Neodiprion lecontei: one gene and its partner. The protein of the gene in region 1 purifies or fractionates together with the protein of each later gene. This does not show direct contact. Links are inferred from orthologs where the notes say so. Each region holds a gene or a part of one and is shown on either strand. Other genes may lie near its edges.

The links.
Region 2: the proteins of protein kibra (region 1) and merlin purify together in Drosophila melanogaster (affinity purification with western blotting; 3 studies listed by BioGRID). This does not show direct contact. The link is inferred for Neodiprion lecontei from reciprocal best matches to the Drosophila melanogaster genes kibra and Mer.

Annotation. Positions count from the first base shown.
Region 1 is NC_060265.1:8,748,930-8,753,927, reverse strand, and holds the start of protein kibra, read right to left. Parts: upstream 3,115-4,998; 5' UTR 2,526-3,114; exon of another isoform or gene 2,445-2,525; 5' UTR 2,432-2,444; coding exon 2,304-2,431; intron 1-2,303. UniProt on the Drosophila melanogaster protein: Regulator of the Hippo/SWH (Sav/Wts/Hpo) signaling pathway, a signaling pathway that plays a pivotal role in organ size control and tumor suppression by restricting proliferation and promoting apoptosis.
Region 2 is NC_060262.1:33,686,463-33,694,518, reverse strand, and holds the start of merlin, read left to right. Parts: upstream 1-2,055; 5' UTR 2,056-2,216; coding exon 2,217-2,315; intron 2,316-2,440; coding exon 2,441-2,570; intron 2,571-3,336; coding exon 3,337-3,542; intron 3,543-3,786; coding exon 3,787-4,014; intron 4,015-4,292; coding exon 4,293-4,711; intron 4,712-5,346; coding exon 5,347-5,476; intron 5,477-5,582; coding exon 5,583-5,918; intron 5,919-6,089; coding exon 6,090-6,467; 3' UTR 6,468-8,056. Other genes in the region: peroxisome assembly protein 12, read right to left, coding at 1-22, 195-563, 684-877, 963-1,071, 1,150-1,269. UniProt on the Drosophila melanogaster protein: Regulator of the Hippo/SWH (Sav/Wts/Hpo) signaling pathway, a signaling pathway that plays a pivotal role in organ size control and tumor suppression by restricting proliferation and promoting apoptosis.

The DNA of each region.
Region 1 (4,998 bases):
TAATGAAATTGAACGAAATAAAAAGAACGTTGAATAATAAACGGTACGCGTATAAATATACAGAGAAGACGAGAAAAATGATTGTACAAAAGTTTTTTGTAATACAAATTATTGAAAATATTAATCACACAGAGGATCATATGTGTAATGATGTACAAAAATTATGGCGATTCATTTTTATACATATAATAATACCGTATAGCATGTATTGCACAAAGAAATATTGCAAAATACTTGAAATTTGTTTAGAGTTAAATAACGATCGAATAAAGAATAAAATTCGTTATTTGTTGTATTTTTTATTAGAATCGAACGCGTTTTCCAATATTATAATTTAAAAATGCGCTTTGTATAGGGATAAAAAACGTGTCACAGTTGTTGAAAAGCCGCGGTGACATTTATCCAAGGCAAATTTTTTGTTTTAATTATAACGTCTATAGGTAGAATAATTTACTACGCAGACGTAAAGTCGGGGGATCTCGTGCGCAGCACATTTGTCTTGATCTGTCCTCAGAATAATTGTACACGATCATCACTTCAAACTGCGACACGCCAATCTCGAGAACAACTTTAATCTACATCAGCAGAAGCGGCATAAGCAGAGGGTTATTTAAGAATGCATCCAATATATAATGTATATGTGTATACATAACCTCTATACAAGAATTTGCATAGACAGAGCTATCTGCATATTATAAGCTCAGAGCTTGACAATAATATTTCTCCATCGTTGACGTCTAATTGTAAATCGTCCTTTAATAATCCACATGCTTGTTACATAGGTGTGTAATGCAATACGAACGATCGATCTAATCATGTCAACCATCAAGATCTGATAATTCTGCACTCAACGATCCGCGTTGTTCCGTACGCAATTACTAGTAACGTTACTGCAACGATGCGTGTTCAGAAAAAAATCGCTACTTCGCCACTTTGGGATTGTCCGAAATTTAGTAAACCATAAAAGAACGAAACATGCTCACGTTTTGTAAAGCCAACTCCTCGAGAGTCGTCCTAAAATTGCACAATAACAAGTTTTTTCTCTTATATTTCTTTATACGTTGACTTTACTAACTTCAGATTCGTTTAGGTTTGCCCTTCGGCATCGTCGATACGATACATATGTAAAATATCGTATTGCAACGAAAAAGCGAGAATTTCGTATCATTCAATTCGAGCCTCGTTGATATAATTCGAATGTTTTTCTCGACTCATTGCCGGATGTATTCGAGTCAAGGCGAAGTTCGGTTTAGAATTAAAATCTGTACATACATCCATGCTGTTACAGTATGATTTAAGTATGATCTACGGTCGAAAAATTTCGGGGAACAGCTGTAAACGGCGCGGCATGCGGAGTGAGACCACGTGGCCTTGAACGTCAAGTGGAGAGAGAGAGAGAGATATATAGATAGAGATAGAGATAAAGATAGAGAAGTAGAAGGAAAGATGATGAAAAGATGCAAAACGAGGAAAAATCCGTCTAGAAAAATTTACAACACCAGTTCGAAACGTTACGTACACGCGTATACGTGAGACATATTAGTCGTCAAGATTAATGTAGAAATTGATCAACTTTACACAAAAAAATTAAAATAAAATAAAATAAAAAAAATAAAAGTAAAAAAGAAGGAAAGAAATAAAAATTTCTCACCGTGCCAAGATTCGAATGGATCGAAATCGAGCAGCCATTCGAACGTTATACAAGTCCTACAGTGACGTGTAATAAGCGTGTATCCGAACATTGAAAAGAGGAGTGAAATTAAAGCGAGGCGCTGCTAATAATGTCGAAAATCGAGCATAGAATCGAAACGGCAATAGACGAGAGAAAGAACGGAGAAAGAACGAAAAGAGGATACTTCATTCGGATTCGCCGCGTTACAATCGGGCGTTGTAAGTGCGGCCCTGTTGCATGGAATGCGGGCGCGGCGCGCGTGTGTGAACGGAGCGGAGCGAGGTAACGTACGCAACCAACACAAGCAAAGACGCACGCCTCGGAACGACGACGACGACGAAGCCGAGAAGCGACAAGGAGAACATCAGCATCGCCGACAAGCGGCGCGGCGGCAAAAGTAGCAGCAGAAGTAGGAAGAAGATAGTCGGACACGCGGAGGCCGATTCGTCGTTGTTTTTGTGATAGATAGACGGACGGATGTACGGATAGATAGATGGATGGATAAATGGACGAAAGAGAAACGAAAGGGGAGAGAGAGAGAGAGAGAGAGGGAGGAGGGAAGAGGAATGAAAAGAGGAAAAAACGCGAGGCGGGCTGCTGCATGGTAGGTAATATACACAAACGAACGTACCTGTCTCTCGGGTCGATCCAAGTCGTCTTCCTCGTGTTATGATCGATGAAATATACCTTCCCGTCGAAGTCTCTGGCGACATCCCAGCCGTCCGGAAGCGGTATCTCCCCATTTCTTCTCCTTGGCATATTTCACTTAGCTCTAAATCCATCCAAAGGTATCACCAACTGGTATCACACACACGTAAAACACTAGCTACTCGCCCGCCGCCATCTTGAATACCTCATTATCATGAGCGGGAGTGACGTCACACCGCCCCGAACGACCAATCCCGGCACCGTTCAGACGCCTCGCGAACGGTATGCGAGTATTGACATAGTAGTCGTCGTCCTCCTCCTCGTCGAGACGACCCCCGGTATCGAAACTCTTTATTTATTCATTCGCACAGCATTACCCGCTCGATTATGCGTTCAACGATTAGGTTCACCCTTCGTCTGATCATCACTCCTAAGCATCTCCCTCTCTATCTCTGTCTTGCTCTAGCTTTCTCAGTTATTGCTGTAAAAAAAATTTCACCGCTAGTACGTTTCTATTTGAAAGAAGTAAACTTGTTTTTGCTTTTTATTATACTATACGTGTTTAAGTATACCGGTAAAAGGCCACCACTGCACACACTCCGTATTCAACACTATTCGGCACTGTCACTTTTTTTTTTTGCTTTCTTATTTATGCATTTTTTTTTTTAAATTCAAACGAACAACTTCACCCAACACTTTCGGACACTAGTATTTTTCTTCGTTACTCTCTTTCTTTATTCGTTTGTTTATGTTATTATCATCAATATCGAATGTGTTGAACGTTCAACCCCCCGCCCCCCTCCCCCCCACCCCCCCACCGTCGAAAACACGAGGAATCTTTCCGACGATCTTTCCACCCTATCTCGGCGATTTTATTATGCACATGCTTCGTAATACTGTTTAGAATAGAACGGATAAAAACCTCTTTACTCTGTGGTCGTAATTACGATTTTAATCCCCGTCGATTCCCTGCCTCCCTCCATGACGTAGAAGATTGATCGTTGACGGGGTGACAATAGTTTGGTTTTAAACATGTAAGGATCGTGTGTAACTTGATATCGGTCCAAGTGCAAAACGCTTCGAATAGAGCGAAAAACCCAAAAAAAAAAACAAAAAAAAAACAACAAACAAACAACAACCGATTCGACGATAGGAGTTTGATATTGATAACAGAAGAAAACAATCGCCGAACGTTAGTTTCGATAATAGGAGGTGAAAAAAAGTGAGTACCGGCTCAAAAGCAAGATGTACCCGGTCTTGCTATCTCTTAGCTCTTGCTACCTAGGAGCATGTTCGGAGTTTGAGACATGCCTGATACCTTCGGCTCATGCGGCCGCTCTCCGCGCTTTGGAATCCGTCCCCACCACGCGATGCGTTCTCGTGTCTCTGACCGCTGCGCACGAATCTCAGCGGAGAAAGCCGAACACCGGCGTTGCCCTTTACGCGAGAAATTCGAATATTTTCAGATACGATTTGTACGGCGCCACCGTACGATAAGAGAATTTCATGACAGGTGCAACTCTCGGCGCAACTCTCACCCTACTACGCGGCTGAGAAGCCAAATACGCCACACATGCCTCGGAATTGTTCCGTCACACGACGATCGCTGCGCCCTCTGCGCGCCGATTCTACAACCTGCCGAGGAATGCTAACACGTTTGTCGTTTTTTTTCGTTATTTTTTTTTTCCTTCGTTCTACGTTTGTTTTCTTCGTTTTTTCTCATTTTTATACCCCTCGCTCGCTGCTGTCTTACGCAGGGACGAATAAACCCGCCCGCTATTACTAGCTGACGCCGTCATCACAGCGACGTGTGTCCGCCGTTTTTTTATTTTTATTTTTATTTATTCATTTTTTTTTTTTTTTTTATCTGTACTTTATTCCAACTCATTTCGCCTCCGTGTATAATTTAATACGGAATTCGAGTTTCATCGACGAATATATACAAGGAATTATCTCTTCCCACGTTCAAATACTCGTATTCATTGCCTTGGGTATTTTTGATTCTGTGGATAATTTTTAAGATGGAATCTTAGTCGGCAATCGGTCGATGAGTCAGTTTGCTATATTCTGTCGTGAGATGCAATTCCAGATGGTCTGCAGCACCTGTTGACGATTCGTGAATATATGCACAAATTCAAATGCACCGTGCAGGATCCTCGATATTTGAAACGAGGGCGAGCATTCGGGTGCCTGTAGATTTCGTAGAGCATTAATTATGCTGTACGAAAGCCAAGGAAAAGGCTGAAATTCTCGAGTAGATTGATTTTCTACAAAATCGTTCGACCGTGATCACATGATTTTGCTGTCCAATAGAAGCCGCGCGTAAATTAAATTCACCTTGTCGTTTCGTCCTGTACAACACATAACTCATTTCATTCACATGCAATATGAAGGTGAGCGCATATAAAATGGTTGAGCATACGAACCACGCATAAACTGTGAAGCCTGACGGATCCACGGCCAAGGGCCACGCGCCTAGAGGCAGTCTTGGGAAAGATATTTCTCAAATGAATATTGCATGTGTAGTGTTGCTATATCTATAGAATACAGATCCCGGTTCTACATACACAGTGTCTAACATGTAGTGTCCCGATTTTTGATCCTGTATGTTAATCCCTGATGATATTGCGGATAGAAAAATTTTAGATTTATAGGAGTTTATGAAATCATTACAGTAG
Region 2 (8,056 bases), on another chromosome or scaffold:
ACTGTAACGCTATTTTTGGAACCTGGATTGAAAATTAAAATGGAATGACATTCATCCATGTCTAGCTTAAGTGCAGCAAACAAAAAATCCGGATTTTTCGGAACATGATGCATACATTGTTAAAAACATCAGGAGAGGGAATATGAACTCCCCGTATTTTGTTGAAGACAAATGTAAGTATACCTTTCATTTACCTCAGGAGGCACAGGTGTAGGCAGAGCCATCAGGTTTACGTAATAATTTTCTTGATTCCACCATCGAAGAAACTGGAGAAAGAAAGCTCCAAATTCAAGTGATCTAGTAAAAAGCATTCCAAACAAATCTATGCCATTACTGAAGGTCAATGTTCCGAGTCTTATCTTCATGAGAAGGTCAGTGATGGTGAGGAATTTTTTACCATCTGCGTAAGACAATGTAACAGAAGCCAGCCAAAGAAGCGGAGTTGAATATTCTGACCGTCCAGCCATGTACCTCAGGTACCGATAGAGTATTAGGCATTCATAAATAACATGAAATATCATGTTTCCATTTATTACCAATTTCCTTACAAGTTTCTGCCATCGCTGAAAAAAATTAGTTATTTAAATAATGTGGAACAAATTAAAGTGTTTGTACTGTTGATGACAACAAAAAGCATATTCAAAGCTTATAAATTATATAAATAGCTTTTCGAATTCACGTACCTTCTGAGGTATTTTACCATCAGCAACTTCCAATTTATATTCTTCCGCAAGCCTAAATAATTTGGTTCTGAAGTGCGGAAAGACGACTAACAGCAATAAAGAAATTTTCTCTTGCTTAGTAGATAACTTTCCATCTGAACCTGCCACGACTGAAGAACGTTTCAACCCATAAAATGTTTCGGAGAATGATGCCGCTGAAATAAATATGGATTTGATTAGGCTGACGAATATTTGGAGAAATTAGTTAGAAACGTAAAAAAAATTGCTCAATATATTTACAATATTTTTTGAGATAGTGATATTGTAGAGCGGCATTAAAAACCAGATACGCCTCATCGCACCATCTTTCAAGCCATCCATATCGATGTGGATTGACCAACACCAAATACTGAAATACTGTGTATAAGATTCACTATGTAACAAATTACAGGATAATAATAATGAAAAAAACGAGCCTGCGACGTACCGAGATGATTTTTTTGAAGACTGGCTCGAGTGTAGAGGCTAAAGATTCTTGCGCAACAATTTCAAAAATCGAGGGTTTAGCCTTGACTGTATCCGTTAAATACGCTCCTTTTTCAGCCATAACTATTGTTGTCTAATAATAAACCATAACACGCTCCGTAATGACGCTACTATTTTCATTCATAAAATATACATGAAAGCAATTGGCTATGTTATGTTGATTTTTGACCTGATAGAGTTCAAAGAGTTCAAGGTTAACAACTCCGTTCACTTGACCACCATGTTGAATTTTGTACCTGAAATCATTGAAATACGCGGCTTTTTATCAATGTTCAAAATCATCTCTTAGTTCCAGTATGTATTTGAATTGTTCCAACTTGACCATCGAAAACTTTAATATTTGTCACAGGTTACGGATCAATTTTGGTTAGAATGAATTTACAGAGACGCGTCAATTAAATCCATCAAAACGCGAGCTGTCAACCGCTTTGTGATTATGAATTTTCTGCAAATTTATTATGCTTATTTACGAAACTTTTGGCTAAAATAGCAATGGAATTAAATTGGATAAGATTCGATTTTTAATGCAGATAAATACCGATTCGGTATATAAGCGGACTACGGAGAAAATCTGTTTTAAAACATATTTGCATTTGTTAACCTCGAATTTAATAACTTCTCATACTTTGGCGAAGATTGTTGCATTTCCGGAAAATATATACTTAAAAAATTGGGCCAATTTCTAGAGGTAGTAGCAAGGCTTTTGGGTACAATTTTGTGTTACTGAAGTGAATATCTGACCTCTGAGATTAATTCGAGGGAAATTTGTATACGTAACAACCGATAGCAGCCGACAGCTAAGGTCAGTGTGAGAGAATGGTCGTTCGTGGGTGGTTCCAATTGCCTGTGTCAGATGTAGCTACTCTCGTGTCAAAGTGAGTGAGAGAAGACGGAGAAAAAAATACATAATGTTTTCTCTTGCGAGTGGGTCGACGTATATTCCTTATAAATAAATAAGTGATATGGTGAAGAAAAAAAATGTAATAATCGTGATGTCAAATAAATAAAATGAAGGATAAAATGCCACCGTTTCGTAGGAAAAAATCGGGGAAATCGTTTCCGGTGAAAGTCTGCACTTTGGACGCCGAGCTTGAGTTCAATTTGGAGGTTAGCTTCTGGAATCTATTGTTGCAAAACATTGTTCCCAAATTATACGAACAATGTGTTACGTAATGATTCCTATCCTCCATGTCATTCGAATGTTTTTCATTGTAAAATTCTCCCTTTCTTAGTGGCGAGCCACTGGGAGAGACTTATTTGATTTAGTGTGCCGAACTATTGGTCTCAGAGAGACCTGGTATTTTGGACTTCAGTATGAGGATGCCAAAGGATTTATTTCTTGGCTCAAGTTGGACAAGAAAGGTATCTCCCTCATTCTTTCCTCTATTTATCCTTTTAATTCGCAATTTTATTCAACGCTACCAAAAGAACTGCCTACACACCTACTTCCTGCTATTGAAAGAAAGTGAAGTCTTATTTTTTTTTCAATTTCCTGCCTAGCAGGTTTATTATACCTAACACAAGAGACTATGCACTGCAAATTCTGTTATTAGATCCCAAGAGATAATATAAGATGATAACAGTGATTTTAGGAAGATTTGTAATCTTGTTATTTTGTAATTTAAGCAAAGCTCAGTGCTCAATTCCTTGATTGATCTAAACTTATATTAAAGCTATTAGAATTTGGGTGCGTTTACGAATTTTCGAGAAAAGGCTCAATAGTTATATTCTTCTTACACCTGTGTCAAAACCAAGAGCACAAAATATGTTCTGGCATTGCACCAAACTTCCAGAGCAGGTGTAGTTAACATATTTTCGATGAAACCACTGGTAGGAGCCTTTCTCCATAGAACTGTCAATAATTTTTAGTCCATGCAGTTACTATGGGATTTAAGCGTTTTGCTTAGTTCTTCTGACTGCGGTCAAATATCTATGCATTTGAATTTTAGTACAAATACAAAACAATCGATCACTCATGCTAATCAATATTATGTCACGTGATAAAAAAAAGATTAACGAAAAAAAAATAGGTATGGTGGATGTGCAAGTAGGTAATGTTTCTGTGCTTTCTATCCTTCAATTAACACAAGTTAAAAACTTGGCACTTCATCTATGTATAAATTTCTAGTCCAGGACCAAGGAATTTCACAACAACCAACGACGCCGTTTATGTTTCTCGCAAAATTCTACCCTGAAGATGTGGCTGAGGAACTTGTTCAAGAGGTAACGCAACACTTGTTCTTTTTGCAAGTGAAGCAAGCCATTTTGTCTATGGATATTTACTGTCCACCTGAAGCCTCTGTACTACTTGCGTCGTATGCCGTGCAAGCGAAGGTAATCGAAATTTTTATTGTTAACTAGTGTGATTTTTAGTAACGTGTTGTTCACAGTTTATTACTATCTGGTTCGTATATCAGGTTTTCTCACTTTGAGATTGCCTCGCTTACAAAGCACCTTTAAAACTGCTGAAGAAGTCCAGAGTGTAAAAATATTGAGTAAAATCTGTCGAGGAGATGTCAAAATGTATCATCACTATATTGATAATGAATACCTGTGGGTGTTATTATATTAAACCTAGTATGGTGATTACGACGAGGTATCATACCGGCCAGGAATGCTGGCTAGCGAAGATCTTCTGCCACAACGAGTGATTGACCAATATCAAATGACTCCTGAAATGTGGGAAGATAGAATCAAGATTTGGTACGCTGATCACCGTGGAATGTCTCGTGACGAGGCTGAAATGGAATATCTAAAGATTGCCCAAGATCTGGATATGTATGGCGTCAACTATTTTCCTATTAGCGTAAGTATGAAAGATATAATTCATTTAATACTTACCGACGTATTCTCAAAGACAGAAAATATTGTATGTTTGATAAATTGGGCAAGTGCATAACTCTACTTCTTCAAATTCATGGACCATTGGCAAATCAACTACAAAGCGGCAACAGATAAACTCTATAGCCTAAGTCTCTTCAAGCATCCTTCAGTCCATCTACATGTTCGATTTGTAGTGATCATAAAAAAAAATTTGACACCTTTTATATGTGGCAAATAACAGCACTTTTCTCTTCATTTTAGAACAAGAAGGAAACGGACTTGTGGCTCGGTGTTACAGCACTTGGGTTGAACATCTATGAGAAGGAGAATAAGCTGGCACCTAAGACAACTTTCACTTGGTCAGAGATCCGGCATATCAGCTTCGATGACAAGAAGTTTGTAATCAAACCTGTAGAGAAGTCGTCACCGAACTTTGTCTTCTTCTCGCAGAAAGTTCGCATGAACAAACTGGTAAAAAAACAGTCACATGTTGGCAGCTGGGTGAAGGGCTTGGTAGCTATAGGGGTCGACGAGCATTGTAGTGAAAAAGCCGCACGGTTCTTATTTGTTAAGATTCTGGACTTGTGCATTGGCAACCACGACCTCTTCATGCGTCGCCGTAAACCAGACTCAATGGAGGTACAGCAAATGAAAGCACAGGCCAAGGAAGAGAAATCTAGGTAAGCATAAGATTATCGAGACTTTTGTATGTACCATTAGCTTTTGCATCATTCCTAAATTAATACTTTTCAGAATTGTATTTCTTAGCACACAATTATTTTTATTTCACATATTAGTTGGTACAATTTGTCATGTACCTGGAAAGCTTATTTTCAGCTCACAAATATAACAACGGTCATTTCTGCATCATAACTCTTGATGTTTTTCAAACTGTGTTCCGTTCTGAATATTTTAACATATACCATAAAGAACTTATTATAATATTTATATATTTTATTTTGAAAGAGGAAAATTCGTCTAGTTATTGATCCATGGAGCAGAACCTGTAAATCTCGAACTTGCATTTGTTTGATTCAGTCATTTAACCTTGACCTCAAATACATTTGCAACATTATATTGCGCAGCAGTAATTAGGAAAAAGATAAAAACACATGTGGCATGTATTCAACAAAATAGTACAAAAGTATTTGTTTAAGGAATGATCTAATCAGTGCTTCTGCATAACACTTAACACGTGTGTTCTATTTCCTAACAGGTTTTCTAACACAATTGGTATATTGTGTTCTTTGTTTGTACTAATGTTGTCCCAGAGTGTCGTTGTTTTTCATATTGATACGAATTATTTTACATGTAGGAGGCAGATCGAAAGAAACAAACTGGCCCGGGAAAAACAGTTAAGAGAAGCTGCAGAAAGAGAAAAGGCAGCAATGGAACAACGGTTGTTACAGTATCAAGAAGAAATAAGACTTGCCAACGAAGCATTGGTAACATTTTTTTGGGTGTTAAAGATTTGTTAGCCAATTACCTATTCTGTTAACAACAAGTGGTAATGGCAACAAATTACTTGTCTCACCATACTTCTTATTACAGAGAAGATCTGAAGAGACAGCAGATCTGTTAGCAGAGAAGAGTCGCGTTGCTGAGGAAGAAGCTATGCTTTTAAGCCAAAAGGCAACGGAAGCAGAACAAGAGATAACTCGTATACGACTTAATAATATGAAAACGGAGGAAGAAAAAGTTCACCTAGAGAGAAAAACTCGTGAAGCTGAGCTTCTTACAGAGAGATTAGTTCAAGAATCGGAACGACGAGCAGCTGAAGCCGAAAAACTGAAAGATGAACTGCTACGTGCTCGAATTGCTGAAAAAGAGGCTAAGGAAAAGTTGCTGGAATTTTTGAGCAGAAATGCTTACAACGCATCTATCACTGTAAGTTTACATTCATTCTATTGAATTTTTTTTCTAAGATACACTATGCATGCAATAGTTTAATATAGTCTGATCCACTTTCAGCCTTCAAACAGTAGCAAATGGCTGAAAATTTGCACATATTACATTTTCACTACTAGTAAATAACGAATTCTTTTCTATTTACTTTAGCCTGTACCAAATTTATTCCCGTCAACACAAGTATTACCATCTGAACTACAGGCCGATCTTCAGACGTTGCAATTGGACGCAGAACCTCTTCCAGCGGACCTTACGTCATATGATCTTATTGCCGATGGAGATGTCGATCAATTGTCCCTTGAAATAGAAAAAGAACGGGTGGATTATTGGGAGAAAAGCAAGCATCTTCAAGAACAATTACGTGAATTACGATCTGAAATTGAGGTAATGAAGGTTGGTGAAAAGCAGTGTGAGCTGGACCAGCTACACGAGGAACAGGTGCGACTTGGTGAAAATAAATACAGTACGCTGAAAAAAGTGAAGTCTGGATCTACCAAAGCTCGAGTCGCATTTTTCGAAGAGCTTTAGGTATTTATTTTTTGAAATTACGGTTAAGAAAGATTAGATCATACGATAACCATTTCAATTGAAAAATATTTTTGTACAATAATCAGTGCCTATCTAGCTTAAACATTGCGTAATATCGATGTTTTGCTAACTGTATATACCCTAATTAAGTTGTAGATATTTTCTACAAATTTTTGACGTTTATTTTGGCCAAAATTTATAGCTTATCATTGTTACAAGAGAATTTCAGTCACGGAGAGCAGGCTTAACGATAAGCTCTACAGAGTTATTAATTATATACTTTGATAGAATCTATCAGATAGTTTTAGAAATAGGATGGATACAATTTGATATGGTAGAATTTATCTGCTTGAATTTCCTATTGGAGTTATCACTTTACGAAGATTTTTTTTCGTAAAACTTTTAATACCTATTTCTTATCTGCTTGTGAATAAAGGAACGTATTTATCATCAGACAAATATTCCGATACATAGATCATGCCACAAAGTTCCAATATTTTGTACAAGGTCATTAATTTCCAGGCGCTTGAAGTAAAGTCGTATTCGTAACAATTAGTCGAATCGTTGATATTCAGATAGAGCGTAATATAAGTATAATTTTGCCTATTAATTATGAGATATACCTTGCAAAAAATCACATAACATTTCAGGCTGTGGCATATGTATTTTTTCGCCAATTTTCGTAATGTTTCCGTAGTTGTTTTCTTCAGTCATTTTTTATTTAGTCAAGTAAAATTAATATTCCCTTCATACATTATTGTTAACGTTGATGAAGACGGTGTAATAGCTTCATAAGTTAACTATAATATGTAAGCCTTTAAAGAATGATCATAGGTATATAGCTCCGAGCACAAAAACGCATTACCATAGAGACATTATGAGTTCGTGTAATAGAATCTTAGGGTAAAAAATGATTCATATAGGTATGTTTATATTTCAGTGTTTGCATGGTATTTATTATTCAAAATGCAACGTTGATAGCCTTACTAATAGAAAACAATTCGAATGTGTTTACAAGGTAAAAAAGGTCGCTAAGAACAAAAACATCTGGTATAAGAAGGGTTACTTCAATTGGACACTTAACAAATGTTTATGCAGAATAATTTAGATTTTAATCTATATAGGTAAGAATGTTTCCTGATGCTGTTTAATCGGGTGAAAAGAACAAATATTTTATCTACCACGTAGACAAGATGTACACGTTATGCCGCCTAGAATAGTTGTATAGTAGTTATGAGTTATGATACTATTACACCTGATTTGAATTAGCACCTTGGATTTGCTTTTATCGCAATATTTTGGAAGTGATTTAAAGGATGTATATATCATTAGTAGTTCCTTCGAAAAGTTGCATGTGCGTGCAGAATGCTTACTTTTATCACCCATACAGAACAATAACTGGAGCTTTCCGTAATAATCAGACTACTCGTTCACCTTGTATTTAAAGGCTCTCATGAGACTCAAGTGGTGCTTTGTTCTCACAACCATACAGACTAATAAGAAAATGTCTGATAATTGGAGACGTCGAAAAACTCTAAAATATACGTTATTTTTACACAGTCCAATTATTGTGTGTAAAAAAACTTGAC